7 linked regions of the Canis lupus familiaris genome follow. The protein of the gene in region 5 purifies or fractionates together with the protein of the main gene of each other region. This does not show direct contact. Links are inferred from orthologs where the notes say so. Each region holds a gene or a part of one and is shown on either strand. Other genes may lie near its edges. The genes, in order: EHMT2, CHD4, MBD1, CHAMP1, CBX5, MECP2 and ZNF462.

Region 1 (4,021 bases), on a different chromosome or scaffold from region 5:
AACAAAATGGGGGCAGCCGGGGTAGCTCAGCGATTTAGCGCCACCTTTGGCCCAGGGCATGATCCTGGAGATCTGGGATCGAGTCCACATTGGGCTCCTGCGTGGAGCCTGCTTCTCCCTCTACCTGTGTCTCTGCCTCTCTGTGTGTCTCTCTCACGAATAAATAAATTAAATCTTAAAAACAAAAAAAAAACCCAAAACCAAAATGGGATGCTAAACCCAAAGTCCAGGATGGTGGTTACCACAATGGAGAGGGGCGAGGGGCCGGGCTGGGGTGGAACACACAAAGGGAGGAAGTTACAGAGAGGATGGGAAGGTGAATTAGGGGGTGTCACAAGGTAAAAAGGAAAGAGAGACAAAGGGGGTGGGTGGGTGGGAAAGACTGGAGAGTGAGCCTTGGCAGAGAGGTAGGCTGGCTCCTTCTCACCTTGCTGTCAGAGTCCACACGCTCATCCACAGAGTAGGAGTCGTAGTAGAGGCTGAAGTCATCCCCCACCACTGTCTCCCACTCCTCCAGGGACCCTGGGTCCCCTTTCTCCATGGTCACTTCTCCTGAACCCCGTGCAGAACCCAACTCCTCCGACTAGGAAAAGATCAGAAAAATGGAAGCTGCTGGTACTTCCCTTCCCAACCATTTCCCTTGAGGGCAGGATGCAGCCCCCCCCAGGTGGAGAGGCCTTGTCTTCAGCCTCTCTAGGCTCACCAGGCCACCTCCAGAGTTCAGCTTCCTCCTTTTGGCCACATCTGGAAGGAGAGAGAGAAAGGAATAAGGCTGGTTCTTCGACCCTCCGGACAAGATTTATCAGGTGGCAGGTGGGTGGGGTGTGGGGGTGGCGCTGACCTGAGGTCATCTTCCCCAGCGAGTGCAAGTCATCACTCATGCGGAAATGCTGCACTTCAGGGGGCCGCTTCTCTGGGACAGGAGGCTAGTGGCAGAGAGGGAGCACACTTTAGGGTCAGGGAGCATTTGCATTCAGTCAAGGGTGAGCCACACCCTCAAAAATGTCACCTGAAGCTCCAGTAAGCCAGAATGTGGCAATCACAAGAAGTGCTGTCTCTCGAGAAGAAGGGTATGAGGCACATTCCACACCTAACACTCACCTTTTCACTCACCCGAAGGAGCGGGCCCTCTTTACCCATTTTACAGATGAGAAAATAGGTTTGTGCCTTGCCCAAAGCTACCTAAACCATACCCAAACCCCCAAAAACACTGTCACAAAGCTTCTGAAATTCTGGGGCTTTTTGTCCTTTCCCTCACCCTCCTTCCCTGTAGGGAGTCACAGTAAAATCCTTAGAAGCCCTTTGAAAAAGGAAGCAGGGGGAGTTTCAAAGGGAGGGAAAAAGCTCCCTTGGGGCTTGCTTTGAGGTAGAAAGCAAGTTAGAAGTTCCTTAGTCATTATCATAAGAATAATTGGGACAATTAACTACAACAGTAATCCTCTAACCTTTTTTTATTTTTAAAGATTTTACTTATTTATTCCTGAGAGACAAAAAGAGGCAGCAACAGAGGCAGAGAAGCAGGCTCCCTGATGTGGGACTAGATCCAGGATCATGACCCGAGCCAGATGCTTAAACCACTGAACCACCCAAGTGCCCCTCTAACCTTTTTTACAACTCCCCTCTCCCCAAGAATATAAACTTGTCTGTCTGTTCAGATCAAGCCCAGCCCAGAATCTGACACACAGTAGCCCCTAGGTAAGTATGGCGAGCCCTGAAGGGATGAGAAAAAGTCTGAAGCTAAACTGTAAAAAAAAAAAAAAAAAAAAAAAAAAAAAGTCCACAAGGGGTACACAGTGGGTTACCTGGGTCTCCCCACCTCCACCCCTCCCCCTCATTCTCACCTGCCCATTTCCTGGTTTGGACATGGTTTTTCTGGCTCGGTGGACCTTGGGCTGCCCCTCTGGGCTGGGTGTGGCTGCAGGGGGTTCAGGCCCCGCTGCTGCCCCCTGGGCTCCCGGCATACTCAGCAGCCGCATAGCCAAACTCTGGACTGAGGGGGGTGATTTTGCTGCGCCTGTCATTGACATCTTGGCGCGGCTGGGACAGGCACCCCCCTTGCTGGGGGAAGAGGGGAATGACTTTGTGGCATGGCCTGGAAGACAAATAGGCAGACAGAAACAAGGTAAGACGAGAGGTAATCAGAGGATACCCCCCCTCTGCCCCCCAGGCCCCTGACTCCCCAGCCTCTCACCCAGCAGGATTCGGCTCCCGTGGAGGTCCCCATCTCCCTCCAGATTCTCAGGTTCATCCCCAATGAGCGGTGTGGCTCCTAGGGGGGTGTCAGCCCCCTCATCACCCACGGTGACTGTGACAGAGGCTGGGGATGAGGGGCCAGCAGGCTCCAGGGAGTCAGGGCTGGACTTGGGCAGGGTCTCCTCACCACGAGGGGTGTCCCCCAAAGAGCCGTGAACTGTAAGGGGAAAGAAAAAGTTCAGGGCTAAGGTCTCGGGGAATCCTGTGTTGGGGGAGGTGAAGGTCCAGCTGGGCCTGTTCAGCCGCACTCACCTCTCTCAGAGGCTCCTCTGGGCTCCTTCTCCAGCACCAGCGCCCCCATCTCAGCAGGGGCCTCCCCCTGGCAGGGGACACAAGGTATAGGAGGGCTGGTCAGCCCGCTAGGAAGTTGGGGAGCCCAGGACGCCTGGGCTCTGGGAAGAGAGAGTAGGCTCCGGGGCCTACCTCTTCCTCGATGGGGGCCCCCCCGTCCGCGGCCTCGGCTGCCCTGGGGGGCCGCACGACCCCTCCCCCGGGCCCGCATCAGCCCCCTCCCTCTCGGCAGACCCCGCATCTCTGGGGCCTGGAAAAGAGGAGGGGGAGGGGGCGGGGCCTCTGCGCCCCGGCCCCGCCCCCTCCTCCCGGCTGCACGCGCCGCTCCCCCTTTGTCCCCCAGGCCGCGGGGACCCCGGGCACCAACCCCTCCAGCGCCCGCCGCTCCCCAGCCCGGCGGACGGCCCCTCGTGCCCCTCGCGCGCGCTCCTGGGGCCCCGGCTCCCGCTGCCCACTCGGGGGCAGCCGGCGGCTGCACGCGCGCCTCCGTGCCCACTCCCCCCACCTCCCACCCCCTGGTCCCCTCATCCGCCCCCGGTGCTGGCCCTCCGGATTGCTGTAGGTCTCGTCCGGGCCCCCCGGCCCCGTTGCACCCCCGGAGCATTGCACGGGCGCGCGCTTCCCCCGGGCGCGCGCGCGGGCATGCACCCGCCTCTCCCCCTCCCCTTCCGCACCTCGGCGGCCGCCGCCGCTGCAGCTCCCGCCGCCGCCGCCATCGCCGCTTGCGCGGGGGGCCGAGCCGGCGCGCGGCCGCCCCGGGTCACGTGGGCGGGGAGGGGGGGCGAGGAGGGGCCTTAAAGGAGCCACGGCGCGCTTTCTGGCCATCTCCCCCCACGCCGGGAGCGGCCTCGGCGGTGGCAGCGGCTGCCCTAAGCTGGGGGCTTCGGGGGCGCGTTCCCGCCGCTGCGGGCGTCGGCTGCGCGGGGAGCCGAAGGCGAGGCACGCCTGGCCGGGGTGGCCCCTCCGTGCCCCGCCTGTCCGTAGGTAACGAGAGCGGCGTCTGAGCGTCCCGGCTCGCGGCGGCTATCTTCCCGAGGAGGCCCGCGTCTGCTTCTCCCGCCTCGGTGCGCTCTAGTTTCTGGGTCTCCGGGTAGCAAGTGTCGGCCTCGCTTCTCCCCCGAGCAGGAAGGGGGCAGCGGGAACGCATGGAGGACACCGGTGCTCTCGACTGCTTCGTACCGGCAGGAGCAGCGTCCTCTCCTGAACCCGGGGCTCAGGGTCCCTTCTGTTTGAGCCGGGTATGCTAAGGCACCAAGTGCACCGGGGACCTGAGTAACCCCCAGAGGCTCCACAGTCATCACCGCCTGCTGAGTACACTATACTAAGGAGCCTTTTTTTGGTCGCAAGCCTAGGCATTCCGTGGGTCATAAGCCCAGTTGACAGAGGAAGTATGAATGATATTACACCGAGATAAAAACCTTGATAGCATTATTTAGGGTACCATCCCTTTGGGTATTATATTCTGGTCAAAGTTTGG
Region 2 (3,961 bases), about 38 Mb from region 5:
TCAAAGTGGCTGAGACATAAAAGAAGATTTGGGAAAGGGGCAGGAATGGGGTGTGGCAAGTGGAAAAACTGGGTCATGCTACAGCTTGGGGCAGAGTTCACCCTGGGAGCCTGCACTGCTCCCAATCAACACAGGGGCAGCCCCAGCCCAAGGGGCCAATGGGAAGCCAAAATGTGGAACCAACATTGGCTGGACAGCACTACTACTTCTCTCGCCCCTCACAGAGAGAGTCAGATCATGTTACCAATGCTGCTACCCCACCCCCACCTTGGGCAACAGTACAGAAATTTGCCACCTTGGTCTACACAGTGATGAGACTCGAGCCTAAGTTTCTCATCCCAACAGCTGAAGACTCAGCAACAAGACTGACCCCTTTACTAAGTGGCCTCAGTTTCAAACTAAGACTTGAAGACTTCCAACTTAGAAAACACCAAAATGTAGGAACATCTTTCCCAGACCTCAACTTACTGCTACAGCTAAGGAGAGAGAAGGCAGAAGTGAAAGATGTTTGATGGGAAACAAAAACACGACCAGCAGGCTCCAGAATTAAAGCGAAAATAAAGATAAGCAGAAGGATAAAGAAATGACATTTAAAAAAAAAAAAAGAAGCTTGAAAAAAAGGTCAAGGAAACAAGTAGGTGACTTAGCTACGGGCTGTGAAAAAGGAAAGACAGACAAGAGAGAGACATCCACTCAGATGCATGACATCAATCACCATTTGAGAAGAGACAAGAGCTTCTCCAATCAGGCAGGATGATTACAACCATACGGGTTTGGCCAGTCCCAGGAGCCACCCACAAACACAGAACAACCCCCAACACACCTACACAAACACTTCATGACACCAGCCCAAACCCTAGGCTCCCTGCACCAAAGCAGAAGCCTCTAGGAAAAAAGTCTGTATCATGTCCATTTGCTATGGGAAGGGGGGGGGGGGTTGCCCAGGGTGTCACCTCCCTTCTTTTGCCCCTCCCTAGTATATCCTTCAGGGTGTGACATCCTACCCCAAGCCCCCATCATTTCCCCATTTGAAACATTCCAGCAATCTGCCTGCTAAAAGCTCTCTACATCCCAGCTGAGGAGCGCAATTCAAACTTCACAGTTGAGACATCACAGAAAACCGGTAACTGATCAGAAGCTAAAAATAATCAGATAGAGAGTAACCAGCACTCCCTCTCTCCTTTCCACAGCAGCAACCACAGGATCCTGCTAACACAGATGCCGGGCTGGTCTTCAACATGCAATCCTCGACACCCACCCGAACCCCCACCCCGCCTCCAACGGGTCCCAGCCACCTGCATTCCTCCGTGGACCCACACAAGGTAAGGTCTCCAGACCAGAGGGCTCCCTCAACTGGGAACTGCATAGCATTCCTTAAAACAGACAGTGCAGCAAGCTTGCATCTCGGTCCCAGAGCCCAGGAGGCACATGGCTTCCACCCCCTCCCACAAGAGCTCCGCAGAAGGGAACCACTCCCTTCGGATGCCCTCCACCTCAGACTCTGCACGGAGAGAGAGAAACTCAACCTTGCCTCACCAGAGTCGCTAGGGAGGGCCCAAATGCCTCCTTCCTGCCCAGGGCCCTTGGGGAAGATTTACCTGGGTGGGGTGGGGGCAGGCTGTTGTTCAAAAGTGCATCCATATCTTCCTCCTCGCTGCCCGCGGAGCAGGGGGACGGGGAGCCCAGGCCCGACGCCATCCCCTTCCGCTCCCGGCCAGGGAATTGGCCCAGCTGCTCCTGCCTGCGGCCTGGGGCCCTCTACACTGGCCCGAGTCACTGTGCGGGGGAGGGGGGGAAGAAAGAGAGAACAGTCAGTGACGCGCACTGTCCCCCTCCCCCACACCCACCCGCTCTTTCCGCCCACCACCAAAGCGGCCCCCCCAACCCCAGCCACCCTAGCAGGGCACCCGAACCACTCAGGCTGAACTTAGTTCCACACTCCTCGAGGGCAGCCCGGAAGCCGGCTCCCCAACTGGAGCCCCCCAGATGAGCGGGAGCGACGCCCCCGAGGGCAGGCTGGTGCAGGCGTGGGGAGGGGGAGAAACCAGGCTGGACCGAGCAGGGTATGTCGGGGGAGGGGGGTCCGAGTGGCCGCGGCGCGGGGGGGTCGGGGGAGGCGGCAGGCAGCGAGGCGCTCGGGGACACAAGGTCACTTGGGGGTGGGGGGGCGCCTCCCTGCGCCTGGGGAGGGGCCAGTCCCCAGACAGGGCAGCTCTCCAAAGGCTGTCCTCTGGGACAACTCAGGTTCTCCGGAGGAGCCACGGGGCCGAGGGGGCGTGGAGGCTCGGGCGCTCCAGGGGGCTGGAGGCTGGGACGCGGGGGGCGAGGGAGCGCCCACCGGGCAGGGGGCCGGGCCACGTGTCCCGGGGGGCAAGTGAGCAAAGGGCGAGGGGGCGGGCGCCGGGCATTGTGGGAGACCCAGCCCGAGGTGGGAGCCGCGGGGGGCAGGACTCGGGCCGGCTCAGGGCGGGGGCGGGGGGGGCAGGGCGCCCTGCAGGCAAGGAAAAGGAAGGGTCGGCTCCTCTGGGCAGGGGGCGGTCCGCGAGTCCGGGACATCTGAGGAAGGGGTGGATGGAGGGATGAGCTTGGGGGCTGGTCAGGCTCAGAGGGGCGTCTCTTTAGGAACCCCGCGCTCTCCTCACCCCGGAGCCGCCGCAGGTCGCGCTGGGTCCGGCCCGGTGTCACTCCCGCTCCGGCTCCTCCTCGCCGCGGCCGAAGGGGGGAAAATGGCTCCGGCTCCGGCGTCGCCTCTTAAAGGGCCCGAAACACCGGCCGGGAAATCCCACCGCACAGGCCCCGCCCCCCCACGGACAGCCCATAATAACCTCAACCAACTCCAACCCCCCCTCCACTACCGCCACCCTCCTCCTTAGGTCTCCCGGGCAACCCCCGCCCCCTCGTCGCTCCGGCAACCATTGGCCACGCCCCCTTCGAGCGCGCGCGCGCGTGTCACCCGGGCAACCACCCACCTCCGGCCATCCCATAATACACACGGACACCCCACCACCACCACCCCACACACACATACACTCCATACACCTATATGCTAAGGTTGTTGACATATCATAATATTGCAGACCTTTGCAACTAACCCTTTCCCCACCTCAGACATCCCATAATAGCCATCCTTTGCCAACTTCTTCACTCTTGGCCCTAATGCTAACATCCCATAATAATTCGTCACCTCTCCTTCCCCATGGCCATCCCATAATAAGCACCCCTCCCAGCACTTAAGCCTCACAGCCCATAATACTCATTCCCCATCCCCCACAGACATCCCATAATAACCACTCTTCATCCACCCCCAGTTTGATATCCCATAATAGTCAGAAACAACGCCCCCCCCCCCCCAGTACTACAACGGACACTTCGGCCTCCTCCCACACACATCCCGTAATAATCAGTTTCCCACTTTTACACTGACATCCCATAATAACCAACCCCCTAGCCTGAGCTGCCCTCAGCCCCTGCAGACTAGGGTCTAGATCCTCACACCACCACCCTCAGCCTTCATACATGCGTTCTAACTCCACAGCCCATAGTAACCTCTTCTCTGTCAAAGAGATATCCTCTAATGATCGGCAGCCCCACTGTCACCCTACAGATGGACATCCAATCTCCTTTCCTCTAACGCTGGAAAGATATCCCATAATTTTACTCTCCCACCCACACCTTGATATCCCATAATAATGTCAAGGAGCCCGAGGTCCACCAGACATACTCTAATACTCCCAGCACATCCCATAATGCTTCATCGCCAGCCACCACCCCTATACCTTTCCAGCCAGGCATCCCATAATATTCACATTCATACCTCCCCCACCTCCTCAGGCCATCAGGTCTATTCTAACACCCAGAGCCACAAGGTTGTGAAGCAGGCTGCTACCCGCACTGCCCTGTGCCCACCCCAACTTGTACATACCTTTATCCCTTTCTGGGCCAAAGCAGTATCCTGGCATAA
Region 3 (3,500 bases), on a different chromosome or scaffold from region 5:
GGGCACTTGGTTAAGCCCAAAGAAGCAGCTGCTGCAATGGGCCTAATAGGGGAACAGCAAGGCACAGTAACGGGTACTAGTATGGGGTGAGCAGACAGTGGGGGAGGGACTAACATGGGATCGACAGGTGCAGCAACAGTACTTAGTGGTCAGATAAATCAACTCTGGTGGGGCTGATAGCATAGTGAATGGATTTCACATAGGCTGAGCAAGTACAGCAGGCACAATGGAAGCAGCTACAGAGGGTCAGCAAAATTCTGCTGGAAATGGGGGTCAGAGACATTGTCTTAATAGCCACTGGTCTAGCAGATGACGTGACAGATACGGTGTTGGAGCAGCCACCATCCTGACAGTACTGGGCACTATCCAGTATAGTGATAGTGCCTGGTGTTGGACTCACAGATGCTGAGGTGTGACTAAGACCAACGCACAGCCTGTTTCCTCCGATGGGGCTAGTGAAGGAGCAACAGGAACAGCACTGTCAGTAATAGCACCCTCCTTTTGCCTGTCCCCCAGCAGCCTTACACGAACCGCCGGCAGAACCGCAAGTGTGGGGCCTGTGCCGCCTGCCTACGCCGGATGGACTGTGGTCACTGCGACTTCTGCTGTGACAAGCCCAAATTTGGGGGCAACAACCAGAAGCGCCAGAAGTGTCGTTGGCGCCAATGCCTACAGTTTGCCATGGTGGGTGGGGCAGGATAGGTTGGTGGGTGGGCCAAGTTGATCCAGGGCCTCCAGTGCCTGGGAGTGGTGGGTAGGTCCGGCAGCTGAGTGGGGCAGTCCAGTTGGGTTCTGTGTCTTCAGAGGAGTAGGCGGGGCAATAGGTTCAGCCAAAGATTGGCAAATGAAGGATCTGGGTGTCAGTGGCATTGCTAACAGGAGACCAGCAGGCTCGATGATGAGGGCCTCATGGGTAAGCAGATTCTGTGCCAGCACTAATGAGCACCTGCAGGCACATTTGTCAGGACAGGGTGGTATAGTTGGTCATCGCACCAGGTGGCCATAACATCCTGTCTTTCTTCAGAAGCGGCTGCTGCCTAGCGTCTGGGCAGGATCTGAGGATGGGGCAGGGCCACCACCATCTTACTCTCGTCGAAAGAGACCTGGTTCTACTCGACGGCCTCGTCTGGGCCAGATACTGAAGACCTCCTTGACTACACCCACAGCCCTATCAGGCTGTGCCCAGACTCCAGTGAAACAGGAAACGGACAGTGGCTTTGTGCTCCCCCCACCTGGCACCGACCTTGTGTTCTTACGGGAAGGTGCAGGCAGTCCTGTGCAGGTGCCTGGCCCTGCTGCAACTTCCACAGAAGCCCTGTTGCAGGTGAGGGTCTCATCTTATCCTGCCCTTCCCAGCCCTACCCAGCCTTGTGCCAGAAAGCTGGGACCAAGTCTGCTGCAATCCTCCTTCACACAGGAGGCCCAGTGCCCTGGCCTGAGTTGGGTTGTGGCCTTACCCCAGGTGAAGCAAGAGAAGGCGGATGCCCAGGAAGACTGGACACCGGGCACAGCCATCCTGACTTCTCCTGTATTGCTGTCTGGCTGCCCCAGCAAGGTGGGGGTCAGTGATGGGTGGTCTGTGAGCCGAGTGATGGTGAGCCGTGATGCTGGTTCTTGGAGCAGAGCAGTAGATGTGCTGATTGCAGCCTCACCATAAAATTACCCCACCTGTCTGACAGATGTCCCACCCTCCCCAGGCAACTAACTTTGCCTGCTTTGCTGTCCAGCTAACAGAAAAATGGAATTCTCTGAGGAATGGGAAAGGTTTATAGGCTGAGAGATGGATTTTCTGGTCTGAAGTGTGACAGAGTGGGATTTGTCAGTACACTGACAGGTTGGCTGATGAGAGACTCTTTCCTTAGGCCCACCCTGCCCTTCTGATTCCTGCCTGTTTCCCACCTCCCCCAGGCAGTAGACCCAGGCCTGCCACCTGTGAAGCAAGAGCCACTGGACCCTGAGGAGGACAAGGAGGAAGAGAACAAGGATGATTCCGCCTCCGACTCGGCCCCAGAGGAGGAGGCAGGAGGGGCTGGCACACCCGTGGTCAGTGCTGGGGGACACTTCACCCTGCCCTGACCCTGCTTTAGCCTCATTGGCCATGATGACCCATGATGTTAATTCTTTCCCAGATCACGGAGATTTTCAGCCTGGGTGGAACCCGCCTCCGGGACACAGCAGTCTGGTTGCCAAGGTGTGCCCCGCACAATGAGGGGTGGTATGTGGTTGGTGCTGGTCACACATGGGCCCTGAGTTTTAAAAGTAGAATCAGTAATTTGGTGTGATGCTCATATCACTGTGATGATCATGAGCAGTGAGGGGTTGTGTGCAGAACCCTAGAGATTTTTCCTGAGGTTCATGTCAGGGCTTTCCTTGGGTATGTGGGGAGGTAGGGGTGGGGGTGGCAGGGGAACAGGGGTCAGTGGAGGGTGAGGACTTGATGCCCTGCGATGAGATTTGAAAGAAAGAGATAAAAGCCTGGTCCACAGCTTCCTAAGAAAATCCAGAAGGGGTCAGTTTTAATATGTAAATTTTTATTCAGAAAATCATCATTTGGGGTCTTGAAGGTCTCTGGAGTCTCCAAGAGATGACAGATGGGCTGGACAGTGGTGGATAGGCAGTAGATCTGGGTCCTGTGGCTGCCTCTGATCTGGGTCCACATGCAACTGTGAAATCTCAGGCTAGTCCTCCACCTTCTAGAACAGCCTTTGTGGACAGGATTGGGCTATGTTTTGTGAGCCTTTCCTGAGCCTACTGAGGTTATTAACAGTTTTAGGTGCTGCATAGAACTGTCGCTGCAGACCTGGCAATAGGATGAAGGATAGCTGCCCCTAAGGGCAGGGCTGGTGGGAGGAGGACAGGGGAATGCTACTTCTTGCAGATTGATCACAGGCTGTGCACATAGGCTGAGACACAGGCAACATAAGCTGTTGGCCTAGGCACTTGGATTCCTTTGTTCCCACAAACTAGTCATGCAGGCCAGAAACTCCATCTGCCTTGGGCAGTACCAGAGGTATTAATGGAGTACCTGCTAGGTACACTGCAGTGTGAGAGATACAGTGGTGAATACAGTGACCCTTCAGGAGACATGGATCCCTGCTTTCAGGGAGCTTATTATCTAAGGAAATAATTTCCCTATGTGTGAAATTGTTACACGTTAATGGAGAAGATAACGATGTCTTAGGTTGTTTATAGTGTAATATTTTGGAAGCGAGAAGATAGATGAAGGATAATTATGGGGAAATCAGTGGTGGGCACAGAATACTAGGAAATGGTTTTGTGATGCTCCATTTTGCAAAGAGCAAACTTCATTCAACATATGGACCTGCTCCCTCTTCTCTAGGTCCAAGGACCTTAAAAAACCTGGAGCTAGAAAGCAGTAGACTGGAGGCTTCTGCAGACTTTAGGATTCAAGGTGGTATTTATAGACTGGCTTTATGAGAGAACACTGATCTACTCAGGCTGGACTGTAGACCAAGGGGTCTTATGTAGGATTCAATAGG
Region 4 (3,955 bases), on a different chromosome or scaffold from region 5:
TTTTGAGAACTTGTCTTGAAGATGTTATTGCCTACAACACTGTTTTCTATCACCTATATTACCGGTTTATTATTTGCATTTGGGGGTAGCAGTTTAAATATAAAAAGGTGACAAGACAGTTGAGGAAACAAACGAGTGCTTTTCAGAAAGTATTAGCTCCTTCAGGAGCTTCAGGAGCTGCAACTATCCTGGCTTTCAGAAAATTGTTTTTAGGGCTCTATGGGCTGACTAAAAAAAGAATATAATCACTGAATACTGAATAAAAAAAATCTCTGAAACTTGCAAACATAATGAAGATAACATGTAGAAAGAATGTGCAGGTTAACGATCCACCTAAAACCCAGTGTCTCATAAAAGTATAAGAATGTTATAAGAAAAGGCAGCGATTTCTCAATAACCGCATCTGGCCTAAACGGCCACAATCAACAGTCAAGGGATGTTCATAAGGGGGACATTACATATTAAAAACCATCATTATAGTATAATAAACCCTAAGTTGCATATATATGACACAGAGGTTAAGACCTCAGGCTTGTTGGGTTTGAGTGAGTCCTGGTTCCAGTATATGGCTTTTGTTAGGTTGCTGAACTTACGTTTCAGGTTCCTGGACGGATGTTAATATTTTGTAGCATATTTAGAACAGTATCTCATGGTGAACTGTCGGTGTCAGCTATGATTATTATACTAGAAACTACAAGGGCATCCTCTAACCAACAGTTCAGTTTCTGGTAAGTAAATATTGCCCAATGACCTTGCTAAAGTTATGGCTGACCAGCACGCAGTATCTCATCTGAAATATACTCAAGTCCTATTTATGACAGGAAGATAGACTTTGTACTTTCACAACTTGCGTTTCTTAAACTTAAACTGTTAACTATGAAACTTTTCCCATCTTCTCAAGAAACTAGTGTAGAGTGGGAGAAAGTATCTTACTCAGTACCTCTCTATTGTCTTTGCCTAATTTACAGTCCTATCAACAAAACAACTTTCATTTCCTGTATGTTAACTCATCAACTTTTTACCAATACTAGTTCATAAAATAGAGGTTATCAATAAGCCCAATAAGTGTATAATACAGGAATCAGATTATGAACTTTAAGAGTAAAGCATTTTGTTCTCTTCCTACAGAAATTACTGAGCACACTATTCTGTCATCAGAAAAGTTTTTAAAAAATGCTTCCATGGCATGCCTGGGTGGCTCAGTTGGTTAGGAGCCCGAGCCCACCTTTGGCTCAGGTTGTTATCCCAGTGTCCTGGGATGGAGCCCTATACCGGCTTCCTGCTCAGTGGGGAGTCTACTTCTCCCTCTGCCCTCCCCCCACTCATGCTCTCACTCTCTTGCTAATAAATAAATCTAAGGGAAAAAAATGTTTCTGGCAAACTTACCAAATGAAAAAGAAAATAAAACCACATCTCATAAATTGACATCTCTAACATTAGTGCAACAACTGGAGAACCACACCCCCTGTTCCCATTCCTATGAAAGAATTGTGGTTCCTTTCCTTTCTTTTTTTTTTTTTTAAAAAGATTTTATTTATTTATTCATGAGAGACACAGAGAGAGAGAGAGAGAGAGAGTGAGAGGCAGAGACACAGGCAGAGGAAGAAGCAGGCTCCATGCAAGGAGCCTGATGTGGGACTTGATCCCAGGACTCCAGGATCACATCCTGGGCCAAAGGCAGGCACTAAACCGCTGAGCCACCCAGGGATTCCCCTTGTGGTTGCTTTCTATAGGCAAAACTCTACCACTATTTCTGCTTACTTCTACTTTCCATTGGCTGTATCTCTGTTTCTTGCCTCTCTGGAAATTTTACACTAACCCTACATTTTATTGCTGCTTCTGTAAATTAGTTTATCTTTTTTTTTTTTTAAAGATGTATTTATTTATGAATGATAGACACACACACACACAAAGAGAGAGAGATAGAGAGAGAGAGAGAGAGAGGCAGAGACACAGGAGGAGGGAGAAGCAGGCTCTATGCCTGGAGCCCGACCTGGTCAAAGGCAGGCGCTAAACCGCTGAGCCACCCAGGGATCCCCAATTAGTTTATCTTTGATGAATACCACTTGCCCTAATTCCTGCTGCTTTTGCCTCCAAGTGGCCCCCAGCCACCTCAGCTTGGATTCCTTTTGTCCTTAACTGCTGCATGTTAAATCATCAGCTCTCTCACCCTCCATGGAGTGCCAATCAGTTCCTCACCGATCCTGCTCCCTCTCAATCTGTGTTAATTCCGATGGCTCCCTAGACTTGGGTGTTTCCCATCTCCCTCACCTGCCCCTCTCTATTTCTTCCTCTTCTTACCATCAACTCTTCTGGCCAGTCTCAAAGTGTCTATTTCCCAGCCTCATTATCAGACCCTAGTAACCCCTTACTCAAAAAAATTTTTTAAAGAATTGTTTAAAATTCACTTCTCAAACCCCAAACTCTGTCATATATATGCATACCTGTCACATCTTCATGCATCATTATGTATGCACATATGTGCTTTTGTAGATTTTCCTTAGGTGTAAGCACTTCTCAAAAATGTTCACATCTTAAACATACTCTCCTAATTGTTATAAAGCAAACAAAAACAATATGCAAAGTAAAGCTGGTAAAATAACACTATAAATCCAGGCCAATTCCCTTTAGAGCAGGGAAGAAATAAAGACCAACAATACTTTCTCTGGTAGACTTACCAGTTTATCTTCCTAGAAGCCTTGAAAGTATGTCTTCAAAGGGCAAGCAAGTCTACATGGCTTCTGAGTTAATTATAGAAAATAGTTTGTAGTACATGAAGAACAAAGATGATAAGATGGACCTGGAAAAAAAGAATAAAGGAACTGTAATCAAAACTACATTTCTGTGATAATCTATGCAAAAGAACTCTGCCTATTTCTCTTGCTGACCTGCTCCCTGCCAACAGTGACTGGGGTCAATCCACTTGCTTTAATGAAATAATACCAAAGATAACCATGGATACTACCAATGACACCACCCACATCTTATTCCATTTTAAAATCCAGGACCGAATCCTGAACCCTTGTCTATAACCACAGCAAATTCATCGTCTCACTTCAGCTGCCGAGACCACAGGATACAGGAGCAGCTGATGTTTTGTCCATTATCCACACTACACTGCAGAGCAGTAAAGTAACAGGTAGTGAGGAAGGGACAAGATTGTCCACAGGACCAAGGGGCAAAGAAGGAAGAGGCATCAGAGGATAAGGAAGGACAGTGGTGCTCCAGTGACTGCACAGCCTCTTCAAACATGGATTTCAGAGAATGTGTCAGGGTCCGGGTAAGCTGTTGACTTGAATAGCAAGAACAAAACTGGCCATGAACAAGCCAGGGGATAGTGCACAGCACACCACTCTACCCATGGTCAAGCTGTAATGTGGATAGCTGTGCTGTCTGTGCCTCTCTAGCCTTACTTCCTCGCCATCCAATCGCCATACTGTTTCCAGTCATCTTCCAAATACAACCTAATGCCATTGGCCTGCTCACAGTTCCTCAAAATATCCCCCAACACCTACAGAAGACAAAACCACGGTATATATAGCCCTTCACAATCTGTCTGTCCCCTGACTGGACTTCATTCCTTTAAATACAAACCTAGCCTCTGGACTTTCACACAGGCATTTCCTCTACTTTATACTCCCTGGCATGGTAAGTTTACACACTCGGCCATCGGGCAAGTTTCTCCATCCTTTAGGAAGAATTACTTCCTAAAAAACAATGGCCAACACCCTCCCCAACTCTCTTTGTGTGCACACCTTCCATGTAGGCATTACTCTCTTGCACTACAAGAGTCTGGCTCTCAGAGGGCCTGTTCACCCCTGTAACCCTTGCACATTCTTGGCACATGGTATATGCTCATAAAGTATCCGTTCGTTACCTCTAAACATCCCATCATGAAGACTAGAGACTTGATCTTAGATTCATAGGACTTTAAAACTAGAAGAGACCTGTGCTA
Region 5 (4,043 bases):
GCTGCTCGGGCTCTTTGGGAGACTAGGAGCGGGGACACAGCTCGTTACGTGGCGCGCCCAACGCCCAGCCCCGTCCCGTTGGGAGGAAAATCCTAGACAGCAGCGTTACAAGGCACGTATTGTTCCCTCGGGTTACGGGAGGCCACGTGCTTCTCCCCTCGGGGGGGACCGAGCGGTGGGGGCTGGGAGGCCGCGGGCGCATGCGCCCCGACTCTCCCTCCGACGCACGCGCAACAAAAGGACTCGGCTGGACGGACGCCGAAGCGGCGGGGAACTACGGCTGCTCCGCAAGAAACTCGCTCCCGGAGACACGATCAAACAAAACCCGTCGAATGCGCCCGCGAGTTCTGCCGGGAGGGCGCAGCCCGGCGCCACAGCCAAGCGCTGCAGGACGGCGGCCTCATGGCGACGACGAGGACAAAATGGCGACCTCAACTTCGGGAGGGGAAGGCCCTGGCGGCCCCCGAAGGGCTGCCGAACGGGCTGGCGCGAGCGGCCACGCCAGGCCGCGTCCTACCGGCCCCAGGGAAGGAGTGAGGAAGGAAACTAGGCGGGAGACAGCGTGTTACTCACCTCTGACTTAGACATGACGGCGGTGGGAGGGGAGACTTTAACGATGCTTACTCGGCGGCGTCCAGGGGCAGAAAGGAGTAATCTAACGAACGTATCTGCCAGCCTACCTTCGGCCTCGCTTTTTTATCCCGCCTCCTCGCTTTAGGCATTGGTAGACTCCGCCCCTGAGCGTCTCTGATTGGATGTTTGCGATAGCCTCCCCCTGCTATTGGTCTATAGCCCCGCACTGCTGCGCAACGTCATCCGCTTGGGCGTTCTACGCAGGCTCCGCCCCTTCAGGTCTATTGGTTCCCGGGTAATATTATTCCTAATTACTGTGATTGGCTCGTCAACCAGTCATTCATATTTGAACGAACCTAAGGTATTTAAATGAATTTTCAATCCATTCCGCCCCGAAATTATGTTCCGCTCAGTTGGCGAAGCACGGTAAATGCTAATATATTACGAACGAGGTTATCAGGTGATTTTTTTTTCTTTTTTTTTTTTTTTGCAAACGACCGCCCGCCGGGCGCATGTGTAGTAAAATGGCGAGTTTACGCAGGCGCACTAACCAGTTCCGCTCGGCGCTTGGAGCACGTGAAATGGCGGGCGGGAGACGGCGGCGACTCTACGGCGCCTGCGTCGTGGCGGGAGTCGCGCCCCGCTCTGCGCAGGCGTAATGGGCGGAGAAAGGGTCCGGTCGCAGGATTGGCCGCGCAGGCGCAGGGAAGGATCCGTTTTGGCGGGCGGTTGGCGTTGCGCAGAAGGCGGCGGCGGCGGCGTCCCGTGGTCCGGCCTCGCCACAGAGGAACAGGGGAGGCGTTGGCGCGAGTGGCCGGTCTCGATTCCGGGTAAGCGGCGGATCGTCTCGCCTACTCATACGAGGTGTTGAACTGACTCCAATTGGGCCCGTTATTGTGTGAAATGAATGGAGCGCGGGGTGGGGGCTCGTAAAGGGGGAGCGCTGGGTTCAGCCAACCAATGGACGGCGGGGGCGGGATGTCTGCCGGCCGGGAGTGCCGTGGGGCTCCGCGGCCCGGAGTCTGACTGGCTTGCGCGCGGGCCAATCGGGTCCGCCTTTGCCGCCGACGGACGGGCCCTCGGGCCCTCGGGACGTGGGGGCGGGCCCTGCGCCCTGAGCAGCGTCCCGCCGAGCCAATGGGCGCCGAGCGCGCCGTAGGTTGGGCTCCTCGGAGGCGGCGGGCGGACTCCGAGGGGGAGGCCCCGCTGTGGAGCCGGCGGCGGGCGGCCTGCGGACGGCGCCCGGGCGGGTCGCCCAGTCAGCGGTGCGGAAGCGGGAGGCCTCGCTGCGGGCTGTGGAGGAGCGGGCGGGAGGGCGCGGGGGCGCGGGGGCGCGCGTTCTCTCCACAGTGGCCGCCGGCGCCCGGCGCTCGGGCCTTCACCCCACACGCGTTTCCGGTAGGGAGACCCTGACTCTGTGGCGTGTCGCTTCGGCTTCGGCATAACCGCTCCACGCGCTCGCGCACGCGCACGCGCACACGCACCCCGGGGCTTCTGGTCGCCCCGCGCGTGGAGGCTCCCAGGGGAGCTCGGCCGGTCGTCGGGAACCCGCTTGGCCGGCAGCGTCCGCGCGCATCGGAACAAGAGCCGCTGCCGTCGCGGACAGGCGCCGACCCACGTGTGCGCGGAACGCCGCGGCCTTCCCCGGACCGGTGGCGGATGCTCGTGAGCCCGCAGGAGAAGTGTGGGAAGGGCCGCCTCCCGCCGTGCGTCCGTGTCCAGGGCCCGGGTGGGATCCGGGCAGGTGGCGTCCCTCCCGCTCAAGTCCTTTCAGGGATCGCAGTTTGTGACTCGGTGAAGATGGGAAAGGCAGCCCTCGTGTTTCCAGGCACGATCCCCTGCTCCTCCCCTCCCCCTGTGTCATCCCTACACCACGAGAGAGTGCTGTCCTCCCCCCCCCCCCCCCGCCCCCCCGCGCGCCGGCGGAACTAACACGGTGATGCTCAGAATAAAAACACAATTTTAAAAACTTGACTTTCTTTTGTGTACTTAGTACCTGCCAGGGAGACGCTGTGCTAAGTAAGTAAACCCTTTACACGCATCATCTGTGTTTCCACGCCTTTACCTCAGTCTTTTTTTTTTTTTTTTTTACCTCAGTCTCTTCTGTGAACTTTTGTATCTTTCTTTACACCATTAAAAGGTTTCTTTCCTTTTTTTTTTTTTTTCTTTTTTAAAGATTTTATTTATTCTTGAAACACACAGAGGCAGAGACACAGGCAGAGGGAGAAGCAGACCTCCCACAGGGATCCGGATGCGGGACTGGATCCCAGGACCCCGGGGTCCCGCCCTGAGCCCAAGGCAGACGCTCCACCACTGAGCCACCCAGGCGTCCCATCCATTAAAAAGTTTCCGAGACTCTTTCTGCTATTCCTCTAAGGATGTCTGAATTTTGACAAATTGCTTAACATGGATGATATTTAGGGTGTTAGGGGTAGGAGGACTCCTCCATCACCTGGATTATTCCATTGCCTTCATTGTATTTTCTTCAAAGTGTTTATTTTACAGGCACTGTAATCACCTGTTGGTAACACCCATTCAGCTGATTTGAAGATGTTTTAGTAAAAATAAAGACGTTTTCGTTACATAATGGTTATATCAGAATCTAAATTGCCCTCTTGATCAATGGCATAAGGTTATTAGAAAGATGTTTAGATGCTGTAATACGTTTAACTGTGTATGAAGGACACTTCTGATTATAGACCTTTGTGACATTATACAAAGGAAAGTTAATTTTAGTTGTCCATATAATGAAGACTGGAGAGATTTGTGTTTTCTGACACTTGCAAGAGGACAACTTGATTTCGTATTTCCTTATAAACTGTAGGTGTGCTAATCAGCTGCTTCTGCTGAGTTTATAAGAACTAAAGGGATCTAAATTACAGTTCTCCCTAATTTATTTAGGTTCAAAAGAAATAGTCTTGACTTACGGGATTTCTTACAGCACTATTGACATTTTAAGCTAATAAATGCATTTCACCTCCTCCCTCACACCCATTTGTGACTATCAAAATGTCACCACACATTGCCAGATGTCCTGGGGATGTCAGTGGTAGTGATGGTGGCGGTGGTGGTGCAAAATCTTCCTCGGTTGAAAACTGTTGATTTAGGGGTGCCTGGCAGGCTGGGTCTGAGGAATGTGACTCTTGGTCTCAGGGTGGTGACTTCAAGCTCCACGTTGGGAGTGCAGCTAAAGAATTCACTATTAATAAAAAAATTTAAAAAGCAACGTTGATTTAAGTTGACATGCTGGAGGTACCTGGCTGGCTCAGCAGAGGAGCATGCAACTCTTGATGCTCTCGAGTCATGTTTGAGCCCTACATTGGGTGAAGAGATTACTTAAATTTACAAAAATAAATAAAATGACAGATGCTAGAGTTGATAATCTTGTCAAAGTATTTTATTTTAATAATTGGAAATTAGTGGGAGAAGGTGAATGAAGTGTTTAGGAAGTAGCCTTTGATAAATGGATC
Region 6 (4,119 bases), on a different chromosome or scaffold from region 5:
AGACGCCGCTGCTCAAGTCCTGGGGCTCAGGGGGGCTGGCGGGGTCCTCGGAGCTCTGGGGCTCAGGTGGGGGAGGGGGCGGGGGCGGAAGCAGCGGCGCGGGTGCCTTCGGGGGCTCTGAGTGGTGGTGATGGTGGTGGTGCTCCTTCTTGGGGGGTGAGGAGGCGCTGCTGCTGCGCCCCTTCGGGCTGCTCTCCTTGCTTTTCCGTCCGGGGCTCTTGCAGGTCTTCAGTCCCTTTCCACTCTTCTCGCCGAGGGTGGACACCAGCAGGGGCTTCACCACCTCCTTCACCTCAATGCTGACCGTCTCCCGAGTCTTGCGCTTCTTGATGGGGAGCACAGTCTCCTGCACGGACCGGATGGAAGACTCCTTCACGGCTTTCTTTTTGGCCTCTGCGGCGGCAGCTGCCACCACACTGCCTGGCTTTCGGCCCCGCTTCTTGGGAATGGCCTGGGGGTCAGCCTCGGCTTTTCGCTTCCGGCCTGGGCGTTTGATAACCATGACCTGGGCTGACGTGGTGGCCCCGCCCCCTTCAGCCTTGCTCCCGGGCGAAGCTTGAAAAGGCATCTTGACGAGCAGCTTCCCGGGACTTTTCTCCAGGACCCTTTTCACCTGCACACCCTCTGATGTTGCTGCCTTGGGTCTCGCAGTGCCGCTCCCTTTGGGGCGTCCCCGACCTCTGCCAGTTCCTGGAGCTTTGGGAGATTTGGGCTTCTTAGGTGGTTTCTGCTCTCGCCGGGAGGGGCTCCCTCTCCCAGTTACCGTGAAGTCAAAATCATTAGGGTCCAGGGAGGTGTCGCCTACCTTTTCGAAGTACGCAATCAACTCCACTTTAGAGCGAAAGGCTTTTCCCTGGGGACTGTGGGAACAAATGGAGAGACACAAAGAACGATTAGAAGCTTCCCCGCTAATGTACAAAGATGGGGCAGGAAGAATGTGCTGAATTCTGTGACAGGACGTTCTGCAATTGACCTGCCTGATGATACTATTCAATGAGAGTCACATTAGAGAAAAGCCAAAATGGGCTGAAATTAGAGGGGCATGGTCACACACAAAGCAACTGGGTTGCTGGGCGGCGGAGAGCACCCACAGGGTGTGCTCCAGTGACAAGAACAGCTGGGTGTCAGCTGCTCTGCAGCTATTGCCCCTGAGGATCCGCCTACCACCAAGGCCCCTCCTCTGGCTCCCAAAGGGGCCTGGCCTGGAGACCCGCTTGAGCCAGAAGGCTGAGGGGCAGGCATTCTGCTGGTTGGTGCCTGGGCCCAGTCAGTAAGTAAAGCACTCCTCTCTGTCTGAACCTGGGCATGCTGCTTAGCCTCTCTGGGATCGGTTTCCTCATCTGTCAGTAGGATAATGCTTTTTGTTCACCCTTCTCAGAGTTGTTGCGATCAAATGAGGATGTCTGCAAATAAACTGTTTATCTTTTCTGGATCATCTAAGGGCCAGAACTGAAATGTATTTATTCAGTCCTTCTCTGAAGCTCTGGCTTGGGAATTACACTGTTTCTTTTTTTTTTTTTTTTTTTTTTTTTTTTTTAAATTTTTATTTATTTATGATAGTCACACAGAGAGAGAGAGAGAGGCAGAGACATAGGCAGAGGGAGAAGCAGGCTCCATGCACTGAGAGCCCAACGTGGGATTCGATCCCGGGTCTCCAAGATCGCGCCCTCTGCCAAAGGCAGGCGCCAAACCGCTGCGCCACCCAGGGATCCCTGAATTACACTGTTTCAATAGAAAATGCCCAATGACCAGCTCAAAGCTGGACAAATGCACCAATGACAGTTGGAAAGGCACATGAAGAGACACCAATGTGTCCCCAGAGGCCCTGTCAGAGAGCTCACCTTTCCCAACATGATTCAGAGAGTAGACTGAGCCCTCTGAACTCCTACTTCTTCTGGGTCATGCAGCCAAGTCACGGAATGACTGACAGAAAGAAGAGTTGTTTAACAGGTTCTGAGAAGAGCCCATCAGCTGGATGTTTCCCAGCTGGGAAATGAGAGGAACCCAGAGAGCCCTGCTTGCCTTCCAAGCACAGGCCACTACACATGGCAGGTCCTGTGGCCTCTGGGACCAGCCTGGGCAGGGCCTTGTGTCCTCAATGTTTCTCAGGCGACCTCTCTTTCTTGTGTCCTCACTGTGGCCCTGGGTAGGCCCTACTGCGATGCCATCTCCAGACAAGACCTCAAGGGCTGGTGGGGTAAAGTCACACTCAGGGCGGTGAACTCTGTACACAGTCATTTGAAACATACCTGGAGGGGTCTGCAAGTGGTGTTCATTATTGAAGCCACCCCCAGCCCAAGATGGGTGATATACACACATTTTCCTGATCATCGAGTAAAAAAAGAGCTGCCACTCTAAGGGATCCCCATTAGTTTCTCAGCACCTGGCCCCAGCCTCCTGCCCACCCAGCCTTCCCTGCTTTGTAGAGACAGGAGTTGCCCTTACTTACTTGATCAAATACACATCATACTTCCCAGCGGAGCGGCCAGATTTCCTTTGTTTAAGCTTTCGGGTCCAACCTTCAGGCAGAGTGGGGTCGTCATACATGGGTCCCCGGTCACGAATGATAGAGCGTCGCTGTTTGGGGGAGGCAGAAGCTTCCGGGACAGCTGGGGCTGAGCCTGACCCTTCTGAGGTCTCCGCTTTGCCTGCCTCTGCTGGTTCAGCAGAGTGGTGAGCCGGTGGCTGCAGGGGCTCATGCTTGCCCTCTTTGTCTTCTTTCTTCTCTTTCTTCACCTTTTTAAATTTCAGGGGTTTGTCCTTGAGGCCCTGGAGATCCTGGTCTTCTGACTTTTCTTCCCTGAAGTGTTAAATAAGTATGTAAGTATCACAGGGAACACACCGATTTGTAGAAAAAGTAAGCAATGGCGGGTTTGGGGCACCCCAGCACAGGCAGGGCTCTGAGAGACAGGGCTGCCCCACCGATGCTCACCCAGATCCTGATGCCTTTCTCCTTCAAAGATTTCTTTGGGGGCTTTGGGCTTTACCCTACCTGCACTGTGACCACTCTGAGTCCTTCTGTCCCAAGTCCCACTCCTAACAAGCAGGAGAATGAGCGGCATTTTTCTGGGTAGAAACACTAGGTGGCTTCTCAGTGTACTGCCTCGGAAGAGGCCACTTTACAAGCTGTGCCCAACAGTCTCTAGACTTCATGGCTGACAAGAGGCCCTTGACTACTGGAGAGGGAGCTGCCCACCCAAAATGTGGCCAGGGCTCCTCTTCACGAAAGACCTGGCTTGGGTGTTAGTATAGCTTCTGTATTGTAAGTTTTCTCAAATGTGTGCTTGATAAAACAGTCAGGGAGCACGATGCAACTTACTGATGGTGGCAGAGCCTAGCACTACCCCCTTGGGAGATAAGGCACAGCACAGTGCTGTGGAGAAAACACACAGGTTTGGAGCCAGCCCAACCTGAGCTCAAATTCTGACTTGGCAACTTCTAAACATGGACCTGAGCAAGTGACCTCAACATTCCGTGCCTTAGTTTCCTCATCTTGGTAATAGGCACCAACACCCCAGAGGAAGAAAAGTCACAAAAGCACCATATAAACACTAGCCAACTCGGGCAACCAGAAACTGCTGCCCAGGGTTCTGGAGTGAGGAGAAGGCACCCCAGGTCTGCTAAACTTTTATTATCAGACATTCCTTTACAAGCCATGACTGCCTTACACTCAACCAGTAGAAGGGGAGAGCAAGGACAAAGGCACAGAAGAGCACCCTCCCCACTCCAGGGTGGGCACCTCCTTATGCTTTCACACTGACAGAGCAGCTCCTTCCTGCTATTTTGGCTCCACCTGGTAGGGTCCCTTCCTTGTGTGCACTGGAAAGGCCCTGGACCCTGGAATCAGTCCGCCCGTGGTGTTCTTAAAGCAGGGCTAAGAGGGCAGGAACACCACCCACGCTGGGGAGGCTTGGAACCAGCCATCTGCTGGTCTCTCAGCAATTCAGTCTAGAAGAGAATGAGACTATTCCTGCCCTTGATATCTAAGCCCTAGAGCTGCCCTGTCCCATGTGGCTCGTGTCAGCACTGGTCACTGCCTCATGGCCAGTCTACCCCAAGCAACCCCCTTGTTCACACTGTGGAGACTCCAATGGAGGCACTGTGGTATGTACTGGAAAC
Region 7 (3,500 bases), on a different chromosome or scaffold from region 5:
TCTTGGGCTCTTAGCCCCACTTCACAGACGAGATGACCGAGGCTCAAGGTGACAGAAGCAATTGCACGGCAGGTGCAAACCCTGAGCGGGGCTCACAGACCCCTCCAAACCTCCCCTTCTAGCTCAGCCACCTTCCACTATGACATCTCCTCCCCATCACCCCCCATGATCACGAGACAGCACTTACTTGTGCCTGAAAGCAGAAACAAAGGAGCAATACTGGCAGCTGTACTTGTCCTCGCGGGTAAACATGGCCAGGGCCAGATGGCTCCTCTCATGAGAACGCAGCCCCTGCATGGACATCAGGACTCTGTCACATTGACTACAATGGTATCCCCCCGGCCGGGTTTCATCCTCCAACATTCCATCAAGCAAGCAGTGTTCACCATCCACCCGGTCCACCAGGGTGCCACTGGCATCTTTGGCTGCTTCCAGTCCATCCAGGAACAAATGGGAAGGGTCTTCAGCCTCCTGCTAAGAGAACCACACACACACACATGCCCCACCAACAAAATAAATATCCATCATCATCGTCTCCAGCTCTCCTCCTCTCCCTTCATTCTCCCAAACTCATCAGCATTTCCTGGTAAAGTTTTCTCCCCTGCCTCTCCAGCTCCCCCTAGAGGAAGGGCAAGCCCGCCTGCCATCCTTCATGCAGTGCTGGTGATTTTAGAGCAACGTCTCCGGGCACAGGTCGCTACTGCCTGGGAAACACGAGACAGGGGCTCTCCCACCGTGAAGACAGTTCACTCACTCATCTCCCATCTTAAAGAGAAGATTCAAACTGACACAAAGCAGGGTTAGGGTGACGGCTCAGAGAAAAGAAAGAAAAGGAGGAGGAGGGGAGGAAAAAGCAGAGTAGTGTGGGCATCTAGGAGCCATGGGCCATCCCTGGGAAAAGAAGGGAAGGGAAGGACCTTGCCGCCCGTGCTCCTCCCCACCCTGCCTGTGGTGACTCGGTCCATTGACCGAAGGCTGCCGGACGATCGACTGAAAAACTTAAGGAGCAGCCTGGTTTCAAGACACTCGTGTTTGGAGGTGACTCCTTGGGTTACTGATTACACATGAAGAGCTGTTCTGTCTCCCTCGAGCAATTCCAGGAAACAAGCCTGGGACACACCGAGGTGCCGTGGAAGAGGCTGACTGCCGCTGCCCCCGGGGGGCCACTGCTCTGCTGAGAGCCGGAGGCCTTCAGTCTTTATGTGCCAGGAAAAGCAGAGACTTTACGTCCGTGCTCCATGGGCAACACAGGACACCGGAGGGAAACGGGCAGATGACAAAAAATATAATCACATATCTAGGGAGAAGGAGCGGGGCCCTGAACTAACCAGCGTCTCTGCTCAAAGAGGAGTGCTTAGCCGTATCCTGGAAGGCAGGGATGGTGGCTCGGTTCCCAACAGTGGCCACTCTTCGGATCACCATGTTCGGAGCAGGGGGCCTCATCAGAGGCACGGGAAGGAGGGAAAGCACTGGTCAGCCACATACGGGGAAAGGGCATGAAGGAGGCCAACCAGGTCAAGGGGCTCTCGGGCCTACTGTGGCGTGAAGGCTTTCAGCTTTAGATCTCACGTTTCCTACGCTCCTCAGAGGACCCAGAATAAGAAGTGGAAAGATTCTCCGGGGCTCTCTACCCTGTGAGCCAGATGAGAACAGTAAGGAGTCAGGCAGTGGGAGGAGCAGAAGATGATGGGGAACAGGACCCACTTGATTCCAATCAAGAGCTCGGGCAACTCGGAAGAGCAAACACCTAACGGCACTAAACGCAGCACAGAAGGGCGACCCAAAGCCTCCTGCCCCGAGAGAGGCCCGGATCCTCCGTTTCCACCAAACTATCCGCGTGGAAGGCAACCAGATCGAAACGCGACCGGGTCGAGACACGAAAGATGAAGAAGGTCCAACCTGCAAAAGAATCACAACAAGCCAGACCGATCCAAGCGCAGCTCAGGAGTGCCCACATTCTGGGACGCCCTTTCCTGAGCTGCTCTGAGCAACGGGGGGTTAATAGGTAACTGGAACCGCTCACACACAACAACGCTCCTCCAGGCCTCCCCCCGCTCTCACCTTCACGGCGGCGGACACGGCGGGGACGCTGCCGTACTGGACGTGCTTTCGGAGGTGATTGCAGATGGCTCGGAGCGTCGGGTGCACTTCCACACAGAATTTACACTTGTAGCCCACCACCTTCCTCTCCTTGATCTTTGGCACCTCTTCTAAGTGACCAAAAGGCTGGTGAAATACAGTGGTAGCCGTCAGTACTCCGAGCCCCCCCTCACATGCCGGCATTTATTCTTGCAGCTTACTAGCAGATTTTATTTCAAAGCGGATTAGCGGGTTAAAAACCAAAGGGAGAAATATGTGAGTATTTTTACATAACGAATTCGTCAGAGCCGTGGCACGCTGCCTACTATGCAAAGTCTCTGGAACCCAAATATGTTACAACTTGTGAGTAGAGAAGATTTCTGTGGAGAAGCCTCATCGTCACGGCCACCAGGTTATGTGGTTTTTCAAGCCAATTTCAACTACGCAGGTGAAACGTTGCGTTAGCTACGCCATTAGTGAACTTCTTGACCAAAAAAAAGGATCTACTCCCGGAGATGTGAGGTTCGTGTGGCGGACACCGCAGACCACAACACGGCTGAGAGGTGCCAGTGATACCCAGAGACGGCCCCCGGCTGCCTTAGAAAGAGAGCGAGCGTTGTCGTGCACCTAGGCCTCACATAAGGCTACTCGGCAGAAGGAAATACAGAGAAACCACCCGAGCCCTCCCCCCCCCCCGGGGGGGCCTGGGGTGGGGGGGCGGGAGCGGGAGGCAAGGGGAGCGGGGCCGTGGAGAAGGGCGAGCATAGGACGGGGGATAATCAAGCTCGAAATGTTTAATTGACTTATTGAGCTCTCTGGCAAGCTAAGTCGCTAGGAAGCCTGTAGCAGTTTGGCTGGCAACGAAGAAGTGCATGTGGGCACCAGTGATGAGAGGCCTCCTGGGGGAAGGGAAATCAAAACATATCCTTACCCTCTCTTGTTTGAAATCTGCAAAAGCACCATCTGCATATTTCTGCTTGCTCAAAAGCTGTTTCCTCCTCTCCTGACGTTTGGCACGCTTCTGGAATTCCTCATTGTGAATGTTCAAGTGTGAGGTCAGCTCCGCTGTGCTTTGCAGTTTGCTATCACAGTGCTTGCACTGGTAGGCGGGGTTCTGCAAGCGGGGGCCGCTGGCCAGAATGACGAAGTCCCTCTTCAGGTCCCGGCTGTGGTGGTCAGTGTAATGCATGCACAGCAGCTCCGCCGTGCTGAAGGACAGCTTGAAGCACTTGATGCAGCGGAACGGGAGCCACTCCATCTCCTGCGCTTCGCTTCCCTCCACCTCGGCTTTCTCGAAGCTGCCTCGGTCTTCCTCTTCCATCAGCACCGGCTTCTCGTGCTCGTCGGCGTAGACGGCCGTGAAGTAGCCTCCCAGCTTGCTGGCGTGCTGCTTCTTGGGGAACACCCCCGGGTGGCGCTTC

What was found.
Region 1: the proteins of CBX5 (region 5) and EHMT2 purify together in Homo sapiens (affinity purification with mass spectrometry; 3 studies listed by BioGRID and IntAct, with this or other methods). This does not show direct contact. The link is inferred for Canis lupus familiaris from reciprocal best matches to the Homo sapiens genes CBX5 and EHMT2.
Region 2: the proteins of CBX5 (region 5) and CHD4 purify together in Homo sapiens (affinity purification with mass spectrometry; 5 studies listed by BioGRID and IntAct, with this or other methods). This does not show direct contact. The link is inferred for Canis lupus familiaris from reciprocal best matches to the Homo sapiens genes CBX5 and CHD4.
Region 3: the proteins of CBX5 (region 5) and MBD1 purify together in Homo sapiens (affinity purification with western blotting; 3 studies listed by BioGRID and IntAct, with this or other methods). This does not show direct contact. The link is inferred for Canis lupus familiaris from reciprocal best matches to the Homo sapiens genes CBX5 and MBD1.
Region 4: the proteins of CBX5 (region 5) and CHAMP1 purify together in Homo sapiens (affinity purification with mass spectrometry; 6 studies listed by BioGRID and IntAct, with this or other methods). This does not show direct contact. The link is inferred for Canis lupus familiaris from reciprocal best matches to the Homo sapiens genes CBX5 and CHAMP1.
Region 6: the proteins of CBX5 (region 5) and MECP2 purify together in Homo sapiens (affinity purification with western blotting; 3 studies listed by BioGRID, with this or other methods). This does not show direct contact. The link is inferred for Canis lupus familiaris from reciprocal best matches to the Homo sapiens genes CBX5 and MECP2.
Region 7: the proteins of CBX5 (region 5) and ZNF462 purify together in Homo sapiens (affinity purification with mass spectrometry; 3 studies listed by BioGRID and IntAct, counting the BioPlex papers as one, with this or other methods). This does not show direct contact. The link is inferred for Canis lupus familiaris from reciprocal best matches to the Homo sapiens genes CBX5 and ZNF462.

What each region holds. Positions count from the first base shown.
Region 1 is NC_049233.1:1,484,577-1,488,597, forward strand, and holds the start of EHMT2 (histone-lysine N-methyltransferase EHMT2), read right to left. Parts: upstream 2,801-4,021; 5' UTR 2,786-2,800; coding exon 2,506-2,785; intron 2,411-2,505; coding exon 2,192-2,410; intron 2,093-2,191; coding exon 1,842-2,092; intron 927-1,841; coding exon 842-926; intron 745-841; coding exon 704-744; intron 584-703; coding exon 428-583; intron 1-427. UniProt on the Homo sapiens protein: Histone methyltransferase that specifically mono- and dimethylates 'Lys-9' of histone H3 (H3K9me1 and H3K9me2, respectively) in euchromatin.
Region 2 is NC_049248.1:7,681,547-7,685,507, forward strand, and holds the start of CHD4 (chromodomain-helicase-DNA-binding protein 4), read right to left. Parts: upstream 2,801-3,961; 5' UTR 2,643-2,800; intron 2,064-2,642; exon of another isoform or gene 1,893-2,063; intron 1,777-1,892; 5' UTR 1,699-1,776; coding exon 1,599-1,698; intron 1,323-1,598; exon of another isoform or gene 1,191-1,322; intron 897-1,190; exon of another isoform or gene 813-896; intron 1-812. UniProt on the Homo sapiens protein: ATP-dependent chromatin-remodeling factor that binds and distorts nucleosomal DNA. Acts as a component of the histone deacetylase NuRD complex which participates in the remodeling of chromatin.
Region 3 is NC_049228.1:78,697,774-78,701,273, forward strand, and holds part of MBD1 (methyl-CpG-binding domain protein 1), read left to right. Parts: intron 1-516; coding exon 517-684; intron 685-1,024; coding exon 1,025-1,324; intron 1,325-1,417; coding exon 1,418-1,555; intron 1,556-1,908; coding exon 1,909-2,043; intron 2,044-2,129; coding exon 2,130-2,191; intron 2,192-3,340; coding exon of another isoform or gene 3,341-3,380; exon of another isoform or gene 3,381-3,412; intron 3,413-3,500. UniProt on the Homo sapiens protein: Transcriptional repressor that binds CpG islands in promoters where the DNA is methylated at position 5 of cytosine within CpG dinucleotides. Binding is abolished by the presence of 7-mG that is produced by DNA damage by methylmethanesulfonate (MMS).
Region 4 is NC_049243.1:61,535,275-61,539,229, forward strand, and holds the start of CHAMP1 (chromosome alignment-maintaining phosphoprotein 1), read right to left. Parts: upstream 2,801-3,955; 5' UTR 2,679-2,800; intron 1-2,678. UniProt on the Homo sapiens protein: Required for proper alignment of chromosomes at metaphase and their accurate segregation during mitosis. Involved in the maintenance of spindle microtubules attachment to the kinetochore during sister chromatid biorientation.
Region 5 is NC_049248.1:45,635,944-45,639,986, reverse strand, and holds the start of CBX5 (chromobox protein homolog 5), read left to right. Parts: upstream 1-1,243; 5' UTR 1,244-1,403; intron 1,404-4,043. Other genes in the region: HNRNPA1 (heterogeneous nuclear ribonucleoprotein A1), read right to left, coding at 1-22, 574-588. UniProt on the Homo sapiens protein: Component of heterochromatin that recognizes and binds histone H3 tails methylated at 'Lys-9' (H3K9me), leading to epigenetic repression. In contrast, it is excluded from chromatin when 'Tyr-41' of histone H3 is phosphorylated (H3Y41ph).
Region 6 is NC_049260.1:123,060,762-123,064,880, forward strand, and holds the start of MECP2 (methyl-CpG-binding protein 2), read right to left. Parts: upstream 2,801-4,119; 5' UTR 2,548-2,800; coding exon 2,450-2,547; intron 861-2,449; coding exon 1-860. UniProt on the Homo sapiens protein: Chromosomal protein that binds to methylated DNA. It can bind specifically to a single methyl-CpG pair. It is not influenced by sequences flanking the methyl-CpGs.
Region 7 is NC_049232.1:62,836,923-62,840,422, reverse strand, and holds part of ZNF462 (zinc finger protein 462), read right to left. Parts: coding exon 3,011-3,500; intron 2,227-3,010; coding exon 2,062-2,226; intron 292-2,061; coding exon 188-291; intron 1-187. UniProt on the Homo sapiens protein: Zinc finger nuclear factor involved in transcription by regulating chromatin structure and organization. Involved in the pluripotency and differentiation of embryonic stem cells by regulating SOX2, POU5F1/OCT4, and NANOG.